Linked DNA regions of Arabidopsis thaliana. The protein of the gene in region 1 interacts with the protein of each later gene in a pairwise test. Each region holds a gene or a part of one and is shown on either strand. Other genes may lie near its edges.

Region 1 (7,178 bases):
ATCCCGGAAAATCAGACAAAATTCAAATCACTCACACTCCTCAAACTCAGCTTAACAAAAACAGAAACTACCAAAAAGAAGAGCAAACAAAAAAAAAAACGTTTTCAGAGAGAAGAAACAAATAAATTTGAATCAGAAGAAGGAAAAAAAAACGAATGAGTAAGAGAGAAAGAGGAAGAAAGAAAAGGCTGTGTCCTCTCTGGAAATGGGTGGCACTACGCGATTAAGAAAAGAGAGGGCCAATTTCACAAATTCTTAATAAAATCATCAATTTCTCTGCATTCTCTTAAATTTACGTATTTACCCTTATCTTACTCCACTCTAAGGAAGCAGCGTTTAGGGATAATATAGTCATTTAAGAAGCAGCATAACGGTTTACTCGGGCCCCACCACGAGTCTCTCGGACCTGACTCAACGCCTCTGTTTTATTTGTGTCGTGTAAATGACTTCATTACTAAGCTTGTGACACGTGGTCATCTAAAATATCTCCTTTGTAATTGGGCTTACTTTTAACACTCATCATGGCCCATTTAGACATCCTTAAAAGGTCAACGGAAAGAATCATATTCTTCTTTCTTCTAGGGAATTATTACTATGATTAAAATGTTTAGGATACAGAGCATCATTTCATGTGTAACAATGTATCAACAATCCTTATCAAATTATTTAATTTTAATGAGACAAAATGATTCAATGATTGTAAATCTTTTAAACAAAAGCCAGTGGATCATCATCGTGACTTGTGTTGGATAGGTCGGCGAGATACATTGACTATAAGGCCGTTTACTTATGATTGAGATATAAAACTCTTACTTGGACAAATAAGATAAGTGTTTGTCTACTTGTACGATTTTTTCCACTCTTGATAGTGAATTGAGTATGTTAGTTTCTTTCTCTGTTTATGATTGCTTAAATAGTTAAATGTAAGATATCACCCGGTAAGGAAAATTTGATTTTTCAATTTCAATAAGAATAAATTATTGGGTTATACGTATGGATGAATGATGATAATATTTTGATCGGAATTATGAGAACGAGTGGAGTATGTGTGTGTACATGAAAACGACGACTTGGAGGCTTTTTGAGAAAAGATAAACTACACGTTTTGTAATTCGATTTGATTTCTAACATTTTTTACATAACATAAAGTAAACAACGATGCGTGATAAAAATATCCTAATGTTGTATTGCATACGTTAACGTGTGACGCTGTGTTGGATTAGTCGGCGTTGACTTGATTTTTTAAGGTCTCCCACTAATATATTATGAGGTTTTCAATGTCTGAAACGTCACAAGCCCCACTTTATCATTTGAGTGGTCTCAAAAGCTTTTAAATCACCATTCACAAAAGTATATTTTGGGAAGATTAAAGAAGAGAAGAAATACAAGGTAAACTTAAATTTTGTTAAGAAATGCACTGCACTTTCATACATCGAGTTTAACAACAATACTCTGTAGTAATCAACCACTAAATATTCAGGATCATAGATGATAATAAAGTTATGTCACAGCAATTAGCAGACGTAGATAATAATGTGTGGAGTTGTGGAAAAGAGCAATTCAAGTGAAGTACATAAACCAAGAATACAAACTTTCCACTTCTCAGATGTAAATCTCATAATGGGCCTGATTAAAAACTGGGCCTAACTTTTTGCGCCCATGTCTACTACTGTATGGAGAGAAATTTTGCTATTACTAAGCTTGGAGTTCGAATAGAGTTCAACAATTGAAGTTCCGTGCTTTCGCTGTGTTGAAATTGACAATGCAATAGATGCTTTCATCCATTTATTTATTTAACTAGAATCATACGATCAGAGTTTTTTTTGAGCGAATCGGATTTTTGATGTGGAATATTTTTACAAGGTATATATATCAAAAAATAGAAAAGGAACAATATGGTTTTGACAATTGCCTAATGAATATTAACTTTATGTTTCTACAAGACTACAAATACCCCTAAACCCCTAGCCTTGAGCCTTCATCTTGAAACAATTTGACATTCACCCTGTTAATAATGTATCCCCTATTATGATTTCACTTTAATTCGTTGAGATTTCTAAAGTTAGCATCCAACAGGAATATCTAAGTTGTCTACTTATATGAGACAGTAGATTAAATTACAAACATATGATTAGTGTGTGCGTACGTGTTCATTTTCTTTGGTACCATTTTTGTGGTTTTCAATTTTCGTATACTACTAATTTCATCGACGGATATACATGTTACATCAACGCAATAACCACGAAACATACGGAATTGCGAACATGAGTAGTGGGTACAGTTGATACAAAAAAAAACGCAATTTTTTTTTTGTATTTCATCATATATTCGCAATGAATTAAACTCATTCTGCATATATTTTAGTTTTAGTTTTTTTGAAAAAGCATATATTTTAGTTTTTTTTTTTTGGTCAAAGCATATATTTTAGTTTATTTCTGCAAATTCAGTACTTATTAATCAACATGTGAAAAAATCAGTACTTATTACTAATTTTTTTGACATCAATCAATATTAAAGTTCTTGACCTTTGTTATTTAGTAGTTCAGCTTTTCCTTTGGTGATAGAATGAAGAGAGCACGAAAAGTTGGAGAAGACAGAGACAAACACTGCCTTTTGTACGAACGTTAGTCCACTTTTCAGACTACAAACAAATAAATGTAAGGATATCACTTTTTCATCTGCAGATTCACTTTTAATAGGTCGATACCAACATTGCTGAACAAAGGAATTTTCCTATTTTACTCATCTCTCATCATATATATTATTTCTTGCTATTACGACTATGTTAGAGGCTTAAAGCTGTTTAAGAGTTACGTAACTTCTTAACAAGTTCCACCATGTGATTATAAATTATGATACAACTTAAATCATTAAGCGCGTAATGTGTCAGAATACGTGGATATAAACTTTAATTAGCTACGAAAATATATTATAAACTTGATTATAATTATGAAATCCTATTAGCAAATTCAACTTAAAACATAATTTAGTTAATATCCAACATTGGGAAAGGTAGCAACTTTAAACTAAGTCGATAGTACCAAAACTCAAAACATAATCATGATGAATATCTAGCTATCCCCACGATCTTCGGCAAGTACAGCCTAACTGAGTTCCGTACATCAACATTTCTTGATACCCCCACTCGTTTGATCCCAACGATAAACCACCGTCTGCGACGGCTCTTACGCCGTCGTCATTAGCTTGAAAATTCCCGTAGCGATCTAGTTTCGACGACAAAGTCTCCTTAGTCTCTTGAACCATATTTTCAGAGTATATAGTGAGATTAGAGAAATAACCAGAGTTGTCATGATGGCTAGTCACCGGCGGTGGTGTTGGTGGAGAAGGAGGAACGCCGCGATTTTTCTTCAAGAACTCTTGAACGACCTCTTGTAATAGACCAGTATCAGAAGATTCTTCCGGGAAAAACGACTCGTTGTTTTCGTTTTCGGAATAAGAAACGCATGCCGTTTTCGATGCTGAGTAAGAAGATGATGAGCCGTTGAAAGAGTTATTATACGGAGTCGTTTTACGAGAGGAACACGAGGCGTCGCGTAAGAAGATAGACTGTGTATTATAGATCCTCTGCGCTGCCGGTGCACCGTAAAAGTTTTGGGTAGAGGAATCTAACGGTAGAGAAGGAAGAGGACAACGAGCAGACGGCGAAGATTTCTTGTTGGAAAAAGAAAACCTTGGTTCAGGCATAATGACAGCTGTCGGATAAGTAAAATTAGTACGAGCCTTTGCTCCACGAAAGGCACGAGCCGCAGAGTCGTAAGCACAAGCGGCTTGTTCCGCCGTGTCAAATGTTCCGAGCCAACGTCTCTCCTTCGACATTGGGTCACGTATCTCCGCCGCGTATCGTCCCCACGGCCTCCGGCGTACGCCGCGGTACCTCGTCGTGCTGCTGCCAGCTCCGGCGATGGTTACAGTGGTATCTTTTGAAGACAGTTTGCGGTTGCGGCTAACAGGTGAGGCTGTAGGTTCAGTGAAGAATTTTGTGAGAGGATTAGGGTCTGGTGAGTGGGTAGATTCGGTGAAGTTTCTCAAGGCTTTTTCCATTTTTGGTTTCTAGGGTTTTGGTTTGAGGACAAAAGGAAGGTGTAATGTGAAAGATTTTGGTGGTTGATAGTTTGAAAGAGATGGAGCTTCTTCTATCTATTTATAGGTACATAAATGGTATAAAAATTTAATTAAATTTTGTGAAGTTTGAAATATATGGCGAAGAGTATAAATGCTTTTCTTGCACATACAGTATAGTAGTATACAAATAACTATATAAGCATGGAAACTTTTGAGTTGCACTTAAAACTTGATTTGATTAATAACTGATAAATTGATAATACTTCTTTTGTATATTAATCTTAGCAAACTAAAATTTAATTTTACATTTAAATTTACTTGCTATCTTGTTCATCATATATATATGGGGTAGATGTTTTAAATCTTTGGTCTAGACATTAGTGTTTTTCTTTGATGATGACGATGCAAGTGGGAGTGGCGAAATAAAACCACGTTCTTATTGCTTTTTTATTTATTAAAGTTAAAAATCGACCAACAGTCATTTCACACATGCTAAACATATTTACATTATTTCTGTATGATTAGTAAAGGATAATTCCATTATTTCTAAAACTGCCAATTAGAATAATCCTTGAAAAAGTATCTTTGTTTGTTAATGTTAATGTATGATTACAACATACACCAATCGGTGATATCGAGAAGAAAATAAATGATTTTGTAAGAAAAGTATGGAACAAAAGATATGCATAGCAACACTTCAGTGTAAATCTGACACTTGTGGATATTATTGTACGAAGAGGACATTTCAGGTTTGTCTAAACGTATGTATGAGACATATATGTATTTCATGTATCAGAAGCTTGTTTTTTATTTATTGCTTCTGTCTTTTTTTTTGTTAAAATTATTTATTTCTTCTGTCATGAAATAATCATGCCATATCGCCCGATGCTTACGTTTTATTATAAAGTCTATTAGAACAATATAAGAATTTGACAAGTTTACTGGAGTATCTTTCAAAAGCTTTGGTAAGTATTACTAATTGTTTAAATAAGTTTTGAAATAGCGTTGTAATGGCTGCGTTTGCGTCATATGTGTTTAATTACTACCATCATTTGAGATTTTTTAGGTATTATTATAAAACCATCTACCATGACCATGACGTCATGAACTCATTATATTGAGATTTATGTTGGTTGGTCGGCAAATGACTGAATGAGACAATAAGCAGCAATTAAAACCCCTGCGTTAATTCTGTAATTTTACAAGCAAACTAAAATGTTTTAATTTAAAATGTGCATAGTCATAATATGAACTTAAACTGATAACATTTTGTCTAATGTTGAAATGTTACAACTCTATGTGAAACCATAGGCAAGATCTTTTATTACCAAACTAACAGTATCCATGGTTGATATAAGATTTTGTCTGGGGGGGTAGGTTGAGTTAATATATACTATAATAATTGTTAAGTATAGTTATTACTATATGGTAAAAACAACAAAAGAGTTCATTGGTGAACTTATCTATTTTCTATTAAAAATTTGAGAAATTCTTCATAATTTTGGGAACTAAAGACTTTTGGTTTCCAGCTCAGTCCTATGCAAATGTCTTTGTGATTTCCGATGTCACAAAGTAAATTATTACGATAGCTCGTGTTCTGAGATAATTTTAGTGTATCTATCATAATATCAACTTGAAATACTTCGGTTTCGATTAGGGTTGGACATGTGAATTATATATCCAACCTAATCAATTAAGTGAAAGCAAGAAATGAACCAATTATTTATAGTCAAACCGTACTCAATCTACATATCTCACAACCAAACGAATCAAACTTAACATGACTTTAGTTCAACCAAACAAACTCAGCAAAGAAATCAAATTTTATCTAAATTTTATATGTAGATAGAAATATATTAGTAAAACTGTAATATAACCATATTTTTATCAAATAATTTTTAATGAAAACATGGACCATATTATAAAAAATTATTTATTTTCTAAAGAAAAAATGATAACTGTTTTTATACTGTTAATTTGTATCTATAAATAACCAAAATCTTTATAAATCCGTAAAGATGGAAAAGGATGTATTCTAATCAATGGGAGAGTTGGAGTCGTTGCTTCACCACTCTATTTTTAATCCCCTTATATTTTTTCTTTCTTGTTAAGTGTTGCTTTTTTGTATGAACTATGTTGGTATAAATGACTATAGTATAGTAACTAATCAAAAGTATGATTTGATAGATTTTGAAAGACAGAGTAAATGGTGGGTCGAGAAAAAGAAGATATTGTAACGACAAAAGAAAGAGAGTGTCAAATACCAAGACTCCAAAACTCAATCAATCAATTTTATCCCTTGAAAAACGGATTTCACTTCTTCGAATTATTCATTCTTCCAAGAACAATAATCCTTCATCAACATCAAAAAGAATTCTAACTCAAATTCTGCTAAAAAGGACTAAATTATAAAATGTATTTCTTTAATAATGATCTTTCATCAACATCAAAAAGAATTCTAACTCCAAATTCTGAGTTCAATCAATCAACCTTCTTGCTTTAATAAAAACAGGAAAAAAAACCGTCAAGTAGTAAAAAATAAAATAAAATCTTTCGAGATAAAAGTGTGATACAAAATAGGTTAAAAAAACAAATCCCGTTGAAAGTGAATGACCTTTTGGGACATAAGAAAAGATCATTCTCATCATTTTGCCCCCTATGATGTGGACCCTGAGCACCCATGCGTTACATAATATTACTTTGTGATTTGACTATCTTTATATTTTAAGAACTTATAATTCATTGCTTAATATAAATATTTTTACTTCTCTCAAATATACTGAGAAATTTGGGCCAAATAACATTAAATGCATCCACACTCTTGAATAAATTATCTAGATTTCGGATTGAAACTGAAACTTCTGGATTATTGGAAAATCTGGTGTAATGCTCTTTATTATAATATAAGCTCACGTCTTGTTTAGACTATTGAGAAGATAGACCAAACTTACTGTTTGAAGAGTAATTACACTAGAGTTGGGTCCTAATCTATATAACTAATTAACACATTGATTATTGTTCTTATGATAAGCTAACTTTTCAACACCAAATTATAAGCTTACTTTTCAACACCAAATTACGTATGAATATGATCA
Region 2 (9,985 bases), on another chromosome or scaffold:
ATATCTCTAAACTAACCATATTTCTTATTTACCTTAACTAATTTCCTAAAATATTTCTACCTAATTTAAACATAAATATATAATTCTTCTTTCAATTTTATTTGATCTTATACTTTATTTATTTTGAATTTATATAAAATATATATAGTTAATAAAATATTATATTTTTTTCTGAATATGATGTAATTCAAATTTTTTAAAACGGACATATATTATTCAACCTATGAAGAAATAATATGTGTACAATGTCCCACATCGCTTAGAAAAATTGGACAATGGTTCAGACCCATATTATAAAAGGACCAAAATAATTCTGATTACGAATGAGCAGGAACCTTGATTTATCAGGCGTCCAAAATTAAAATAGTTATCCGATTTTACTCGCATTTTTTATTTTAAAGAATTGAAACTTTAAAATGTTTCAAGAAATTATAAATATTATAACTTTATCAAAAGTTAAATATTATAATTTTAAAAACTTTTTATAAAGTATATCTTTAAAAAATGCTTTAAATATTTATAATTTTAAAACTTATAAAGTTTTAAAAATTATAAATTGAATTTTACAAGAAATTTAAACATTATAAATATATAAAAAATATATTAATACGAGACGATATATTACAGGAAAAATCTTAAATATAACAATCAAAATTCAATGATGAATTTTGGGTCGATATTGTATTTTTTTTAAGTTTCAAATTTTATAATATTGAAATTTATAAGAAAATGACAAAATTATGTTTAATTTCACGGGACTGGGTTATATGGTAGGACGGGTTTGGGTGGATAATAATTACGATTTTAGAATGTCCCATATCGCTTAAAAAAATTGGACAATGGTCAAGAGCCATACTATAAAAAGGACCAAAATGATTTCGATTACGAATGAGCATGAAACTTGATTTATGAGGTGTCCAAAATTAAAATGGTTTGTTTACTAGGGTTATTTATTTTAAAAAATTGAAACTTTAAAAAGTTTAAAAAATTATAAATTAAATATTACAAGAAATTTAAACAATATAAAAAATATTAATACGGGACGATATACTGCGAGAGAAATCTTAGATATAACACTCAAAATTCAATGATGAAGTTTGGGTCAATATTAATCTTTTTTGAAGTTTCTAATTTTATAAATATTTGAAATTTATAATAAAATGACAAATTTGTGTTTAATTTCACGGGACGAGGTTATATGGTGTGACGGGTTTGAGTGGATAATAACATGGGATAGTATGCTATGGAAAAAAACATATAATAACAATCATAATATAATTATATAATCTTAAACACTAAACAAAATTAACAATATTAAAAAAAAAAAACTTAAAACTTTAATTTTTTTAAAACACATTTTGATTCTTTTATAAGAAATTTAAACATTATAAATATTTAAACTTTATACTACGGGTGAAATTTTATAATTGACTGTTTGGGTTGATAAGAATTTACAATAGAACTAGGAGTTAAATCCTAGAATGACAATCAAAATATAATTATACAATTAAATACTACCACGAGTGAAATCCTATAATTGACGAGTTTGAATCGATATTAATATGGGATGGTGTACTACGGGTGATATTTTAGAATTGATTGGTTTGGGTTGATAATAATTTACGATAGAATTAGGAGTGAAATCTGATAATGACAATTAAAATATAATTATACAATTAAATACTACCACGGGTGAAATCCTAGAATTGACGGGTTTGATTCGATATTAATATGGGATGGTGTACTACGGGTGATATTTTAGAATTGACTGGTTTGGGTTGATAATAATTTGCGATAGAATTAGGAGTGAAATCCTACGATGACAATTAAAATATAATTATACAATTAAATACTACCACGGGTGAAATCCTAGAATTGACGGGTTTGATTCGATATTAATATGGGATGGTGTACTACGGGTGAAATCTGAGAAACAACAATCAATATACAATTATACAATATTAAACATTTAACAAAATAAACAAATATAATTTAAAACTTTAAAATTTGAGTTATAAAATTTCGTCTCGCGGTGAATTATACATTTAAATCAAACAATAACATAAATTTATTAAATCATCCTAAAAATTATTCAATTATTTTTTATTTAATAAAAATATAGGTCCGCGGTATACTGCAGATTAATATCTAGTATAATAAACAACATTCCAAACTAAAAAAATACTACAATCACGACCAAAGTTTGCTCTAATTCCAGTCAAAGTTTCAAACCCTAACTGTAAAAGCTCTAGTTCGAGAAAGATCATAATTGATAAAGACAACGACGGCGACGAAACTCCACGGTAAAAGATGCTACCACCGCGTCTCTGAAGAAGAAACTCCTGAGTTTTGGAGGCGACGACGAGGAGGGAGAAGACGAAGCTTCCCGTGTCAAATCCTCTTCGTGTCCGAGGAAATACAGGCGGTTTGTTGTTTATGGATATAAATTATGGTTAAAAGAACGTAATTGATGTTTGTTGTTTTATCCCATTATATATGGGATCTCGTTTACTTCAATAGTTTGGAAAATCAAGTATTGAAGTTGAATATATAGAAGATATGATTTTCATCATTTTAAATAAAAGTAATTAAATGCTAGTTGATATATTTTTCAATGGCATATCTTATAATACCCCACATAACATTTGATTATTTTGCTAACAACATTGCATAAATAATAGTACAAGATAGCTCTTGTTGCTAAAGTACACTTGATTTAATCTTTTTGCCGTGCTCCAGACTTTGTCCTAGAGAGTTGGGTCATACAGGCTTTTGATTGGCATTATAATTAAGTGTGTTTCTCTTTTTCTTTTTCAAAATCGTTCATGCGCTTTGGTTTAGTCAAATACATAAAAGATATCTAGTATTACATTGAAAACCATAGAACAAAGTAAGAGGAAGAAACAAATATAAAAAGTGTGAGATGATCAAGTATATAAGAGAGTGAAAAATGTTTTCACTTAACACTGGACGCTTCCAGAAAACTTTGAAAGCCTTCCTTAACGATATATTCCTCAAAAGAGTATGTTCTAAAATGCGGTTAGCATAACCGGGTCGCCCTAGTCTTCTTAGGTCTCATACGATTATGGACCCACGAGATATATATAACAGGATTTCGGATGTACAAAAGAAAAAAATCAAAGATATAACTATAATAATAAATTATAATCCCTTTTTGAGATAAAATGATTTAAAGAAAAAAACAGAGGAATCAATTTTGGTGTTTAACTTTTACCGGATTGTGTGTTTGGGTTTTGTTTTTATAACTTCTACTGTCCCGTCTTGAGCCGTTTTGGTTTCCGAGTTTGCTTGACATTGTCGTTTCTGGTTCGAGAAACCGGTTCACGAACTTCATGATCCTATCGAGATGTGAACAAAACTATAAACTATCAAGATCCAACTCATGAAAATGTGTTTGAATTGAATCAAACGTAAGTAAAGAAAAAGATACCTTGAAGGAAGAAGACGAGGATTGTTTAGCGAGCTCGATTTCAACGGAGATGCTTGCTTTCGTTAAGTCCACTCCTGAATTCTCCAATGCTTCTCTCAGTGTTTTCACTAATCTGCTCCACACACAAAAGTAAATGTATAAAAGGTTAATAATTTTTTACTTTTACTTAACTGTTGCAAGATCAAAATTCAAAAGAGAGTTTTTTAGTTTTACCCTTGTGAGTAAACACTTGAAATTCTGATGTTACCCTCAAGAACTTCCTCATCTTCTTCTTCTTTTTGACTCCGGGAACTCGGACTTGGCTCTACAGCCTCTGATGATGCGACTCTTGCGTGGAACTGGGGTACGGGATTACCCGCAATCACAGGAGAGAAAAAACTGTTGCTTTGAATCGACAATGGAAATGGAGAGGTCGTCGCGGTTGTTGGATGATCAATAACAACACCTTGTGCAGTTGCAAGGACCGAAACCGGAATGTTGTTTTTCTCTTCTTCCAATTTTGGAGCAAAAGCAACTCCTTCAGGTACTAGCTGTTGGTTGTTGTTACTCTGCTATAATGTAAATGGATCACACGGGTTAACATTACATGGTTTGTTTGTTTTCAGTTTCCAACCCGGGGAATAAAAATGAAGTATGGTCGGAAAATGTGAGATTATATTTACCCAATTCAATAGCTTCGCAGGTTCGTGATTCCATCCTTGGTAAGAGGTCACATACTTGTCTGCTTTCTCTTGTAAGAATTGAATATACTCGATAACCTGTATGAAGTTGTCAAAAAAAAAAATTGGAGATTAGGAGCAGATGTGATTGAATCTTACTGTCACAAAATTTTCGGCCAAAAGAGTATAGTTATACCTCTAGTAAGAAGGAGGCCTTATCCCGCTTTTGGTCGCTGTTAGGTATTAGTTGTCTCAACATCTGAAATCTGCAGAGGGATCCATTAACAATGTTTGATTAGTATCTCCACTCTGCTAAGCTATATAACCAATTCTGGTGGCTTTTGCTACATATTCAGGACTTACCTATCATTGATCTTGCTCCTTCTCCGTTGCTCTGTAGCAGAATGTTTAGACCTAGGTGTGTTCAGCTTTTGATCGTTAGGAGAGCCTCTCACATCTGCTTTTACCCTCAAATCCACTGTAAAGAAGCAATCAATCAGATCCTAAGCTGTTACTGTTTAGACTTTAGATATCATATAGGTGGAATCTCGGACAATACAAACCTCTATGGCTCTGGCTAGTCGAGGAGCTTTCTTTCTTCATGATAAAATCTTCTTCATCATCTAAATCATCTTCCTGTGAACTTCCTTTTGCTGACCTTATCATGTCCATGAAGCTCTGGCTCTTAAGCACAGACCCTCTGCAACCAAAGTAAAACTTTAGTTGATCACTCTTTAAAGTCCATAGACCGAGTTATATAAAAAAGAGAAGATATGAGACTAACTGAGAGGAAGAGAGAGAACTGAAACCGCTCATATGGTTGTTTGTCAAAGACTGGGACCGTCTCTCCGCCACTGGCCATTGTCCCACAGTTGCTGCAACATCAGCTACACATTCAAAAAAACTTATATTTCATCATTCCATTGATTTCTAAATACTACTTTAAAACTAGTCTAAATAAACATCACGATTCAAGTTTTCTTGTTACCTCTCATGTTTACTCTCTCCCCAACACTATTCTCCTTCCTTGTCTGTCCCTTCTTCCCAGAAGCAGATTCATCCCACAGAGTGAACCCGCTTGATGCAGCGGCGTACGAGCTGCAATTAGAGTTAGAATTCTCATCCAAAACGTTTCTCTCATTAGCATTGAACATCATTGGTGGTGACAACTCCGGCTTAGGAATTCTCTGATGATGATGATGGAAGTAAGGAATGGGGCTAATCGTATAAGTCCCTATACCACCGGGAAGCACGTGCTGCAACGGTGGAGGTGGAGCAGGGGGCGGTGGCTTCTCGGACGCTGTAGTGGTAGAGTTAATCCTACTTACGTCTTCTTTAGCACCAACACATTCTAACGGTTGAAGAAAATCATGGGTTTTCAAGTGACTACCTGCTTCACGTACCATCAAAATTAAAAACATAAACTATATGTTAGAGAAGTAAATCCCTAGATAATACACATTTTCTTATACATCAAGTTGTATGCATTTAAACGCTTATAGTAATTAACAACATTTTGTTATTTATGTGATGCAATTCTAGGGATCAACATCATGAGGGTTGAAAGATATTTATTTAATCGAAGGCAAGGTTTAACGACATGTGTAGACGAAAAAGAAAGAAAAAAACGGTCCCAAAATTCCATGGGCTTTAAACACAGATGGGCCCATTAGGACCCAACAAAATAGCAACATTTTGATCCATGATTCGTCTTAAAGTCAGATCAGATGCACGCGCGAAAAAAACGTGACCCCTTTTAAGAGAATCTTAAAGAAGAAAAAAGGGTAAAATGGTAAAAAAAAATACCTTGAGAAGAAGGTGGTGGTGTTGGCTTTGGATCTGGGTGGACGGTTGAATGACTGCAGAGCGATAAAAAATCATGTGTTGGTTTTCTCCCTGTGCGAAATTCTTCTTAATATATATATCAAAATTCAAAAAAATACATAAATTTAAAATTATGAATCTTGTAGAAACTAAACACTCTGTTTTAAAATAAAATAAAGGAATTGGTAACAATAATATCTGATAATGGTGTTTACCTTGGGTTTTGAAGGGACGAGGTTGAGGAAGCTCCATGAACGACAGAGCTTCGACGGTTTTTGAATTCTTTTTAAATTATTCTATTACTAATCTGTGCGCGGGAATTATCGCAAAAATTGGCTAGCAGCTCAGATCTGCGACTTGTAGCAGCTGATTCAAGAGATATTGTGGTTTTCGATGGTTGAAGAAGCGGAATTGAGCTCTGAAGTTGCTGAATTATGCTTTCTCTGTATCTTTTTACCGATAAAAATCCTCGAATTTGGTCAAATTCTGCTCGATTTAACCTAAATCAGCCTCCGCCGCAACTTTTCTCAGCGAATTCCACAGAATTCAAACGGGAGAATCGGCAGAAGTCACCAAATTCGTGGAATCGATAGATCTGTCATCAGAATTGGGTAGAAATTCAAGAGAATAACCATAATTCAGCGGAATTCATAGCTCAAACCAACTCAATTTCGCATAATTCAAGTCAACCAATGAACATGGAGATACAAAAACTAGAATCCAAGTCAAATCTCTAAAGAACACGAATGGATTAGATTTGAGCTAAGAAGCGTACCTTCTTCGACAGCAAATTACGTGAAGCTTTTGGCGTGTCAAGGTACTGTTGAAATTACGCCGACTACTATCATGCGTCGAAGTAAATGCAATCAAAAGGAAATCAGTTAACTAATTAAAATGGTAAGATATGTATGATTAATTAAGAATCTCATGTATCTGATATTCAAGTCATCGTACATTCTTCTATAGCCTAATACCACCAAACCTAAATGAACAGTGCGAAAAGGAAAAATAAAATAAAGAAGATTTTGTGTCTCCGTTTAGAAAATCATGCTTATAAAAACCTCCATGTAAATAATGTAATCAGACCACTGTATTACGTGGTCTATGTTCGTGTGTACTGAATGCGCATAACTAGACGACTTGTTTAATTGGTAAATTGGAAGGTAATTGGTAAGTTTGACAAAGATACGTACTACTAATTGATAGCTAGGCTTGGCTGCAAACAATTACCAATTTAATAGTAAATTTAGTAGTAGAAATTCTGCTATAGATGATGGAATATAGGGGGACAAGTATGATTTTGTTCGTACGTGTATGCGTCTATGTATTTGTGTGAGTGGAGATATATGTAATGTATGTGACATTAGGTGGAACAAAGACAGCTCTTCCGCCTTTAACAAATTGTCTAAAACCCATAGTTAAGAACCTGATCATGTGAGCTAAGCGCATTTTTATATTTAGTTGAATGCCACTTGTTACAAAATCACTAACTTATAAGTAAACCAAATAGACGACTTACAAATTACAGTACTTATTTTAAAAGTCTTGTTAGCATTTACTAAACTAACATATGTCTAGTACTGTATATAATTTGAATTATATATTCGAAAAAAGTCATCTCTTAAAACCAAAAATAAAATGATAAAATATCTTTAGTCCATTTGTATTCAAGCGAAAATAGTTATGGCTTTCAAGTTTTTGCAAGTACGTATATACTTGATTAAATTACTTAAGATTTTCAGTAGTTAAGAATTAAATTTACTTACGAGTAATATTTATTGCCCTCCCCTAATGCTTACAATCTAGTTAGTTTCTGAGTACTACATCTTTCCAGTAGTCATGAGTTTAATCTGAAGATAGAAATAATAAATTGAAAACAGAGATGGAGATGATAGTGAGAAAGGAACTATAGCTAAATAGTGTTGGATCACATGAAGTGAAAAATTGTACAAAATAGGGAAAGAGCAAAAACAATTACACATCCCCACATGCCTTCCACTTTGTCTCGTGAGTTGTTAGGTTGTGCTTAAACACGCTTTATTCTCTGTATTTTATATTAACCCCATGAATTGTATTATATTGATTTAAAATCACTCGCAATCTCGTGGTTCTTTGATGAAATGTATTATTGTTATTCGAGATTCGGTTTCTCTAGAGCACAAGTAATTGGTTAGATACATTAAAATCAAAAACAAAAAAGCAAATGGAATTGTTAAGATTTTTACACGTTTAGATGAGAAGAAAGAAAGAAATCAAGGAAAGTAAATAAAAACGAAATGGTCAATTCAAGTGAAAGGCGAATAAGAGGTTAGTGTGACGTCGTTTTCATGATGTAGTGGGACCACGTGAACTGACTCTGCAACTCACGTGAGAGAAACACTGTAGAAACATAAATAGATTTTCGAAAACATTAACATCAAGGGCAATTTAGTAACAATACTTCTTGACTAGAAACTTGGAAGGCTAAGGGTTTTAGTCGATCGAAGAAAGAAGGTTTCCATTCAGTCTCATAAACTGTTTATTGATATGCCACAAACCGACCTATCCTTAACCATTCGTGGTTCGGTTGGGCACATCATGTTCTTCCCGTCTTACGTAATTCAATCAATAAATAATCATTCAACTTGAGTTAGTTAACAAAATAAGAAGAAGCATATCAAGTAGGTTTCAACTTCAAAAGATTAAGATCAAAATAACTTATATAATACAAAACATATTTTCTTTAATTTCCTACGCATATTATAAAACATATCCATGGAATTAATTAGAATAATGTATAGGAGAAAATCATTCGCGGAGTCACAAGATTTCTTAAACATATTTTTACATATTTAATCCAATTTGAAGTAAATCAATGCGAGATCTCATCACAACTACTCACCAGGTTCATGCACACGCTAACAACTGTTTTAATATCAAGATTTGATAATATTTTAAGGGTGAACAATATTAAACATCTCTTTGCATATAAGTATATAACTATATATCAATGACATTTTTTTTTTTTTGGTTTTAATGTTAGATATCAATGCTCTCTACGTTGATTTCTTACAGAATTACAGTTTATCAAACATTCTCTTTTCAGAAGTTTAATTAAAAAAATATAAACCCTTAATTTATTTATTTTGTTGTTAAAGTGTTTTTAAATAAAACATTAATTACAGAAACTTTATGCATACACAAAAGAGTGTGTGGGAGAGCATCTCATCTGAATTAGCTGTCTTCTTTACTTCTTTTTTCCTTATAAAGAGGACTATTAGTTGTCTCTAATCATTGTTATTTTCTTAATAGTATAGTAACAGATTAAATAATCATAAAGCAATTAGAAAAGAAGAATAAGAAGCTGGACTTGAAGAAAAACAAATGTATTTGTAATGCGGACATTCCTCTGTACATTTGCACAGGAATCCTCTTAGGGATCAGTTAACAAATAGTTTATCTATCTAGATATCATGTGACTTAGGGTTAAAACACGAGATTAAACAACTAATTATGATACATTGAAATTAAATATGAAGTTTTTAACCAAGGAGAAGGCTACGTACGAGACTTTGGATCTAAGAGGACACGTGGCAGTTGCGCCGCGTAAATCGCGCCGTATCACGTGATAACGAAACCTTTTGGGGTATTTTTGGCTGCCTACCTCACAGCCTCCCCCATCCATCACGTGGCCAACTCACACCTCTCGATTATTGCGGGTCCCACGTTTCTTTTTTACGCTATCCCGTTTTCACTATTTTTTATTCAAAATATAAATTAATTTGCTAATTATAGATATAAAAGCTATCTTAAAACAAAAGCTGTTAAAATGCTTTGTTAGCAAAGGGGAAAACAAGAACAAAAACTATGTACTTTGAAAATAACGGACCGTATAATTTTGATATGAAAAAAGAGAAATTCTAACCATTAAATGCACTGAACCAGATCACTGATCTATATATTGTTTTTTAACTCTTTTTTTCAACGTGCAACTAATTTAATTCTTGTACTGGAAATGAGTTATGATGACAAACAAAACAAAACAAAAATAAAATAAAAAATAATTTCTGAA
Region 3 (6,509 bases), on another chromosome or scaffold:
AAAGAGATATCAAAAAGAAGAGAAGACCAAAAACAAAACAAAAATCTCTAATAAAAATGGCTTCCAAAGCTATCTTCTTCTCTTTCTTTGTCGTCTCCGCCGTGTGTTTGTCTTCTCTGGCAGGTTTCGCCGCCGCTGATGCTGACGACTTCGATCGTTTCCAGATTCAAGGATCAGTTTACTGTGACACTTGCCGTGTCCAATTCGTTACCCGTCTCAGCAAATTCCTCGAAGGTAACATATTTACGCACGTATATCTATGTTTCTACACATGTATGTGTGCATGGCTAATTTACAACGTGCAACCGTTTCTTTTTAAGAGAATATTTTCGTTTAATAAAAAAACTTATCATTTTGAGATGGCCATACATGCATGCGCACGCAAACTATCTTGCATGTTAGAGCCTAGAGGATGCAAGCACTGTCATAAAATAAATATATCAGTTTCTAAATTCGAATGAGAGTATTGCAATGTCCTTGACTACATTTTTTCAAATATTTCGTAAATCAGCTTCTAAGATTAACATTGATCAGATTCAAATTTCCAAAATATATCCTTTTCTCTTAGATCAAAAAGGATATATAAAATTATAAATTAACCGAAACAAATTCTTGAGGTCTATAGCTTGTCGAATATTTTTCCATTTAAACATTTACCATGGTCATAACAAAATGACGAAAATTTCAGACATCTTAAAAGTTGATCCGTGATCTTGATCCACATGATAAATTTTCCATCCACACAAAAAAAAAATTCCATCCACTCAAGCAAACTAATTATAGTTGAACTAATTTCTATTTATTTTATCTTATTTTTTACATTTTTAATTGTGTTTGTGCAGGCGCGAAAGTGAAGTTGGAGTGCAGGAGCAGAACAAACGGAACCATAACATTGACCAAAGAAGCTGTTACCGACAAAACAGGAAGCTACAAAATGGAAGTAACCGGTGACCACGAGGAAGAAGTTTGCGAGCTTGTTTTGGTCCAATCACCAGACAGTGGTTGCAGTGATGTCAGCACAGAGGCTTACTTACGTAACGCCGCTAAGATCAGTTTAACGGCGAATGACGGAATCGTCTCCCACGAGACACGTATTGTTAACCCTCTCGGTTTCATGGTTCAGACTCCATTGGCTGATTGTCCTGCTGCTTTCAAGGAGCTTGGTATTGTCCCTGACGTAACATTCTAAGCGAAAAGAAAAAAAAGAAAAAAACATATAACATGAGAGATTTTCTATTTGCTTAACTTTATCAAGTTTATAACCATATAATGAATTAATATCATCATTAATTACCTTTTCACGTTTTGGTTTTGTTTGATTTGATGTGTGAGTGATATTTTGTTGTTCTATAGTAAAAAGAATGTAATTTGGTTACACACGATCGAGGAACTTATATATTACTATTAGTTTATTACAAAATAAAAAATAAATCAATGAGTAGAAGTTTACTGTTGAATATTGGATTTAGATCGAAAACCAAATTTAGAAGGGAAAGAGATCTGCTCGGACTCCCAAGTCCTCTAATTTTTTATATATATCTCTTGATAATTCATGCATGTGCTCATATATATGTATATAACACATTACACAACTTAACAAGGGATATAATATTTTTGGATATTCTTGTCACTTAACCTCTAAAATCATTCTCATTGATCATAAAAATATAGGGTATTTAAATATAAAGATGAATTAATGTTATAATTAAAAAGAATTTAAAGAATTAAGACCCATCCCTCCATGTATATTCTTTTAACATTTTTAATATTAAAATATTAAATACTTTAGTTTCAAGACACTCAAAAAAGTGGTTCACCAATGAGGATGCTCTAAAGCCTCTGAATGTTTATCAAACTTCCAAATGTAACATTGCTGTCTTTTCCTCGTTTCTTGGCTATCATATTGGTAATTTTTGAAGTTTTGTTAAATTTAAGTTAGGTGTAAAATAAATTTATGAAAATGTTGCATCCATTATGTCCTGTAATCAGAACGCAGACAAGCTCCTCCATCCAATTATTTTTCCTTTTAAGATTAAACAGCTAATTTTGTAGATCTGGTTGACTTGATCTTCTTACATGTCCCTTTTCTTTTCCCCTAATTTAGTTTAAATAACTATTTTTGGTGTGGGCAGTTTCCGTTAAAGAGAAGTAACACACTTGTTACAAGAGAGAGGTAACAAAGACAGTAGCTTTTACCATTTTTGTTAAATCATGAAGTCTACTACCTTGTTCATGGTTTCTTGTGTTCTCATATTTTGTGTTCTTAGTCACGTGAGAGGTACGTAATGTACACTATTGTTCTTTCGATTTAGATTAGTATCCTCGGTTTAAAAGACAAAAAAAAACTTACTGCATTATCAATTTTTATATATTAAATAATCATTTTATTTACAATTTTGACATTATTTTTGTTGTGTGTATGTATGATTGATAAAAATAAAAAACGAATAGAGGTGAAATCGGTGGAGACTAAGGCCAAGAGAGTGAAGAAGGTGTGCGAAAAGGCACAAGTATTCGAACAAAATTGTGGGTGGGACGGAAACAAAACTTGCATAAGAGGCTTTAATAAAATCAAAGAATACCCTTTTCATTGCGAGTGTGGCATTTATGATGCACCCAATAGCAGACGTATTTGCAAATGTAAATTTCCATATTCTCCTTGCTAAATTTTCATGTAGTTTTTTTTTAAATGTTAAAAAAAATTTCATGTAGTTCCAGAACCATAGTTTATCTATCTAGAAATTAATAAATTAAATGTTATTTAAGGTTTAACTAACCAGTAAGATGAACCCTTTTACTTCCTTCCATGTTATTGTGAAACATGTCTGAAGGAGTTAATCTCCAACGCCATGAATTAATCATTCCCGGTTACTCCATTTCTAAAACTCTTTATAAATATGTATTGATATAAGCCAAATTATATGTCGTACGATCTTGTAGTCTTTATCATACATTTCAGAAAAAATATAACTATAGATTAAAACCTAGCTAGCCGGAATAGTTTTTAATCTATAACATTCGATTTAATTTAACTATTCAAACTTCCTCTTCTTTCTTTACATTATCTCTCATAAGAACTCAATAGTAGATTGCAATTAAAAGTCTTGCTGAAACCAACTTAATTTCTTATATTGACTAAACTCGTAAATGTCTCCTTGATTAATTTTTCGATAATTTTTTTTTTCTTTTGACTAAAGAAACAAAATCGTCAGAGATTTTAGAATGTGAGATTGTGATTGTGATTTTGGCTCTTTTTGCTAGTCTATATCCGTGAATTTAAATTTGGAGATGGAAAAAGAAAAGTTATATTAACAGAAATCACATTTTGGTTTAATTTTTATATCGGTTTTGGTTCGATTATCGGCTACCCTGAAGGTTAAAAACTAATGTAAAAGAGTGATGCTAGTTTGGGCTTAAAATGGATCTATAAATTTTAGGCTCATCTGGCCTCTTTCTGAGCTTGCCATTTTGGATTAAGTCTAAGTTCTAATCTCTAACTTCTCATCTCTGTTCTTATTTGTTTCCTTTCCTTTTTGTCTACTTTCTTTTCTTTTAACATCTGTCAACTATTTGGTTCTTATAATACACTATAAATGTGTGATTAATAAGTGTGATTCGTGTAAACCAACGTGGAACCATTATTTGCCACTATTTTTAACACAGTCCATGTCATATAACCCGCCAACCACAACCGCAAATTGTTCCTTACAGTATTTTGTATACAATTTGCTATGCTACACTGTTTGATACTTACTCAGGCCGTTAAAGTATTTTGGTATTTATGTGCATGTATAAAATATCACAATGGACTTAAACTAAATATTTTATTCCAAAGTTAAATGTCATATAGAATATATAAATAAATTTTCGTTGTTACTTGTTATGCGTTCAGAATTTCATAATTTTAGTATTTCTTTCAGTCGGCCTTGTTCTAAAGATATTTCTCATCTTTTTGTCGACCTATAGATTTTTCTCATATATAAATACTAAAAAAAACTTGCCACTACGTAAAATATTTGAAGACAACAACCACAACTGTCGGTAGGAAAACAAAATTGTGAAACACCAAACAAACACGTATGAAAACATCTCAAGAACAGCATGTATGCGGTTCGACAGTAGTACAAACTATCAATGCTCCGTTACCTCTAGTATGGTCGATCCTACGTCGATTTGATAACCCAAAAACATTTAAACATTTCGTAAAAACTTGTAAACTACGCTCCGGCGATGGAGGAGAAGGCTCTGTCCGTGAAGTCACGGTGGTTTCCGATCTTCCGGCGAGTTTTAGCCTAGAAAGATTAGATGAACTTGACGATGAGTCTCATGTGATGGTGATCAGCATTATTGGTGGTGATCATCGTTTGGTTAATTACCAGTCGAAAACTACGGTGTTTGTGGCGGCGGAGGAGGAGAAGACAGTGGTTGTGGAGAGTTATGTGGTGGATGTGCCGGAAGGAAATACTGAGGAAGAAACTACGTTGTTTGCTGATACTATCGTTGGGTGTAATCTTAGGTCATTGGCTAAGTTATCGGAGAAGATGATGGAGCTCACTTAAAGTTGTAAAAGTCGTGGGATTGTAATAATAGTATTAGTTTTTAGAATTTAAAAGTAAAACTCTTACATTTTTACGAGGTTTTGGATATATAGCAACTAGCAAAATATGCTTATTCAACTGGGAATAATATAGGTATAATTATGTATTTATATGTCTTGTGAAATTAAAAATAATTGTTTAAGTTTCTTTCTTAAATGTCATTATTCTGTTTGCCCAAAAGTATATACAATTTTAGTTTGAGTCCATTTCTAAACTCTCCTTTGTAAATGTATTGATATAAGCCAAATTTTGAAATCATTCAAGTTAAAAAGTTAAAATCATTTTTTTTTCTTTTGATTAAAACTCTTGTTGTTGTAACAGGAATTGACTTGTGAGTACTAACGTGTCCAGCGAAATAGCTTTCTAAAGCAGACTCTGATCGTTCAGTGTCTTATACCTTCTCAGTTGAAACTTGATGCCAAAGAGCGTCTTTTAGCATGTGCAAGTGAAGAAATTAAACATAGTTCGCTTATAAAATAAAAAGTATATTTTATGATTCATTTTTTTCTTGCACAAAAAAAAAATACAAAAAGTTGAAATACAATGGTAATTAATGTAATTAACCCTTCGTCTCCAACAGCTTCTTTTTAAAGAGGAAAAATAGTTTAAATTCTGTTATATTTGGCTGTAGCTCAATTGTTCAACTTCTACTTATTTTTACACTTTTTCTCACAAGAAACTAATTACATACTAGTAGAATGAAGAGCCATTTCAAACTATTTTTACTTGAAGGTAATATTTAAAAAACATTTTGCTAATATGTTGGTAAACAATTAAAAAAAAAAATAACCTCACTTATACATATTTACTTAAGATTTTCTTAAACAAAATTAGGATTGTTCGATTATCCTACTTACATATGCTAAAATACGGCCTTGAATCTTGATAGATTGCATGCAAAAGTCTTACCGAAATTATTTTCATCTCTAATCATATTGATCGACTGAACTCGTAAACGTTTTATTCTGTTTAACTTTATTTTATTGTGTGTCTATTTTTATTTTTGATCAGATTAAAATATAAGAGTTTGAAAATGTGAGATTGCGATTACGATCGAAGGTTCAATTATTTGGTCCTTTTCAAATTGTTAACAAAAGAAAAAGGGACCCTATAAAAGTTAAACAGAAATACAATTTGGTTAAGCTTATCGGTTTCCGGTTCAATTATCTTTACCTTCTGAAGGAGTAAGTGATGCTATTTTGGGCTTCAAATGGATCTTTAATCTGTAGGCTCATTGGGCCTGTTCTCAACTTGGCGTTTAAAGATATGTCCTTCCCTCTCTCATCTGTTCTTGTTTGTTTTTTTTTTGTTTGTTTTTTTTCATTTAGTCAAGTTTTTATCAACAAAAACAATGTCTATAAATGTGTGGTAAATAAGTGTGGTTCGTATGAACGAAATCGAAAACGTGGATCTATTACATGCCACTAGTTTTTCCACAATCCATGTCATAACCCTCCAAATTTAACCGAAATACATTCTTCATTACAATGACGTTACAAAACAAATGTGCATTCTAAAGTTTACAATTTATTTAAATATATTTTACGGACAAATATGTAGCCATATGCCTATATATTGTCACCATATGCTACACATCCTACACTGATTAATCAGTCTTTCTTTTAAAGCATTTTTTTGGTTTTATGTGCATATTACAATGTATTCTTTTAAAATATATATACACTTTAAACTTCTTTTTATCATCTTATGTTATACAAATCAACAAAGTTTTTCTTACTTGATATTACATTCATATTTTGCAGAAAACACCAAAAAATGACAACTCATATTTTTTTTTAGTCGGCATTGTTCTTAGATATTTCTCGTATAAATACTCGAACACTAATGCATGGAAGCTTCAAAAAGGTTTGAAGATACTGTCACACAAAACAACGGTCGATAAAAGGACAA

The links.
Region 2: the proteins of ESR1 (region 1) and BIM1 interact in binary tests that used the Arabidopsis thaliana proteins (3 or more experiments, as listed by UniProt).
Region 3: the proteins of ESR1 (region 1) and PYL12 interact in binary tests that used the Arabidopsis thaliana proteins (3 or more experiments, as listed by UniProt).

The regions. Positions count from the first base shown.
Region 1 is NC_003070.9:4,426,675-4,433,852, reverse strand, and holds ESR1 (Integrase-type DNA-binding superfamily protein), read right to left. Parts: upstream 4,136-7,178; 5' UTR 4,063-4,135; coding exon 3,076-4,062; 3' UTR 2,888-3,075; downstream 1-2,887. UniProt on the Arabidopsis thaliana protein: Regulates gene expression patterns in meristems and thus modulates organ development. Required for correct embryo patterning and cotyledon organogenesis. Modulates auxin signaling pathway in early embryos.
Region 2 is NC_003076.8:2,603,386-2,613,370, forward strand, and holds BIM1 (basic helix-loop-helix (bHLH) DNA-binding superfamily protein), read right to left. Parts: upstream 6,866-9,985; 5' UTR 6,710-6,865; exon of another isoform or gene 6,530-6,709; 5' UTR 6,187-6,529; coding exon 6,150-6,186; intron 6,019-6,149; coding exon 5,917-6,018; intron 5,501-5,916; coding exon 5,099-5,500; intron 4,998-5,098; coding exon 4,895-4,997; intron 4,811-4,894; coding exon 4,674-4,810; intron 4,589-4,673; coding exon 4,474-4,588; intron 4,377-4,473; coding exon 4,307-4,376; intron 4,210-4,306; coding exon 4,114-4,209; intron 4,003-4,113; coding exon 3,665-4,002; intron 3,564-3,664; coding exon 3,452-3,563; intron 3,360-3,451; coding exon 3,270-3,359; 3' UTR 2,633-3,269; downstream 1-2,632. UniProt on the Arabidopsis thaliana protein: Positive brassinosteroid-signaling protein. Transcription factor that bind specifically to the DNA sequence 5'-CANNTG-3'(E box). Can bind individually to the promoter as a homodimer or synergistically as a heterodimer with BZR2/BES1.
Region 3 is NC_003076.8:18,604,614-18,611,122, reverse strand, and holds PYL12 (PYR1-like 12), read left to right. Parts: upstream 1-4,011; 5' UTR 4,012-4,079; coding exon 4,080-4,559; 3' UTR 4,560-4,725; downstream 4,726-6,509. Other genes in the region: AT5G45880 (Pollen Ole e 1 allergen and extensin family protein), read left to right, coding at 57-234, 843-1,189; SCRL27 (SCR-like 27), read left to right, coding at 2,212-2,278, 2,452-2,666.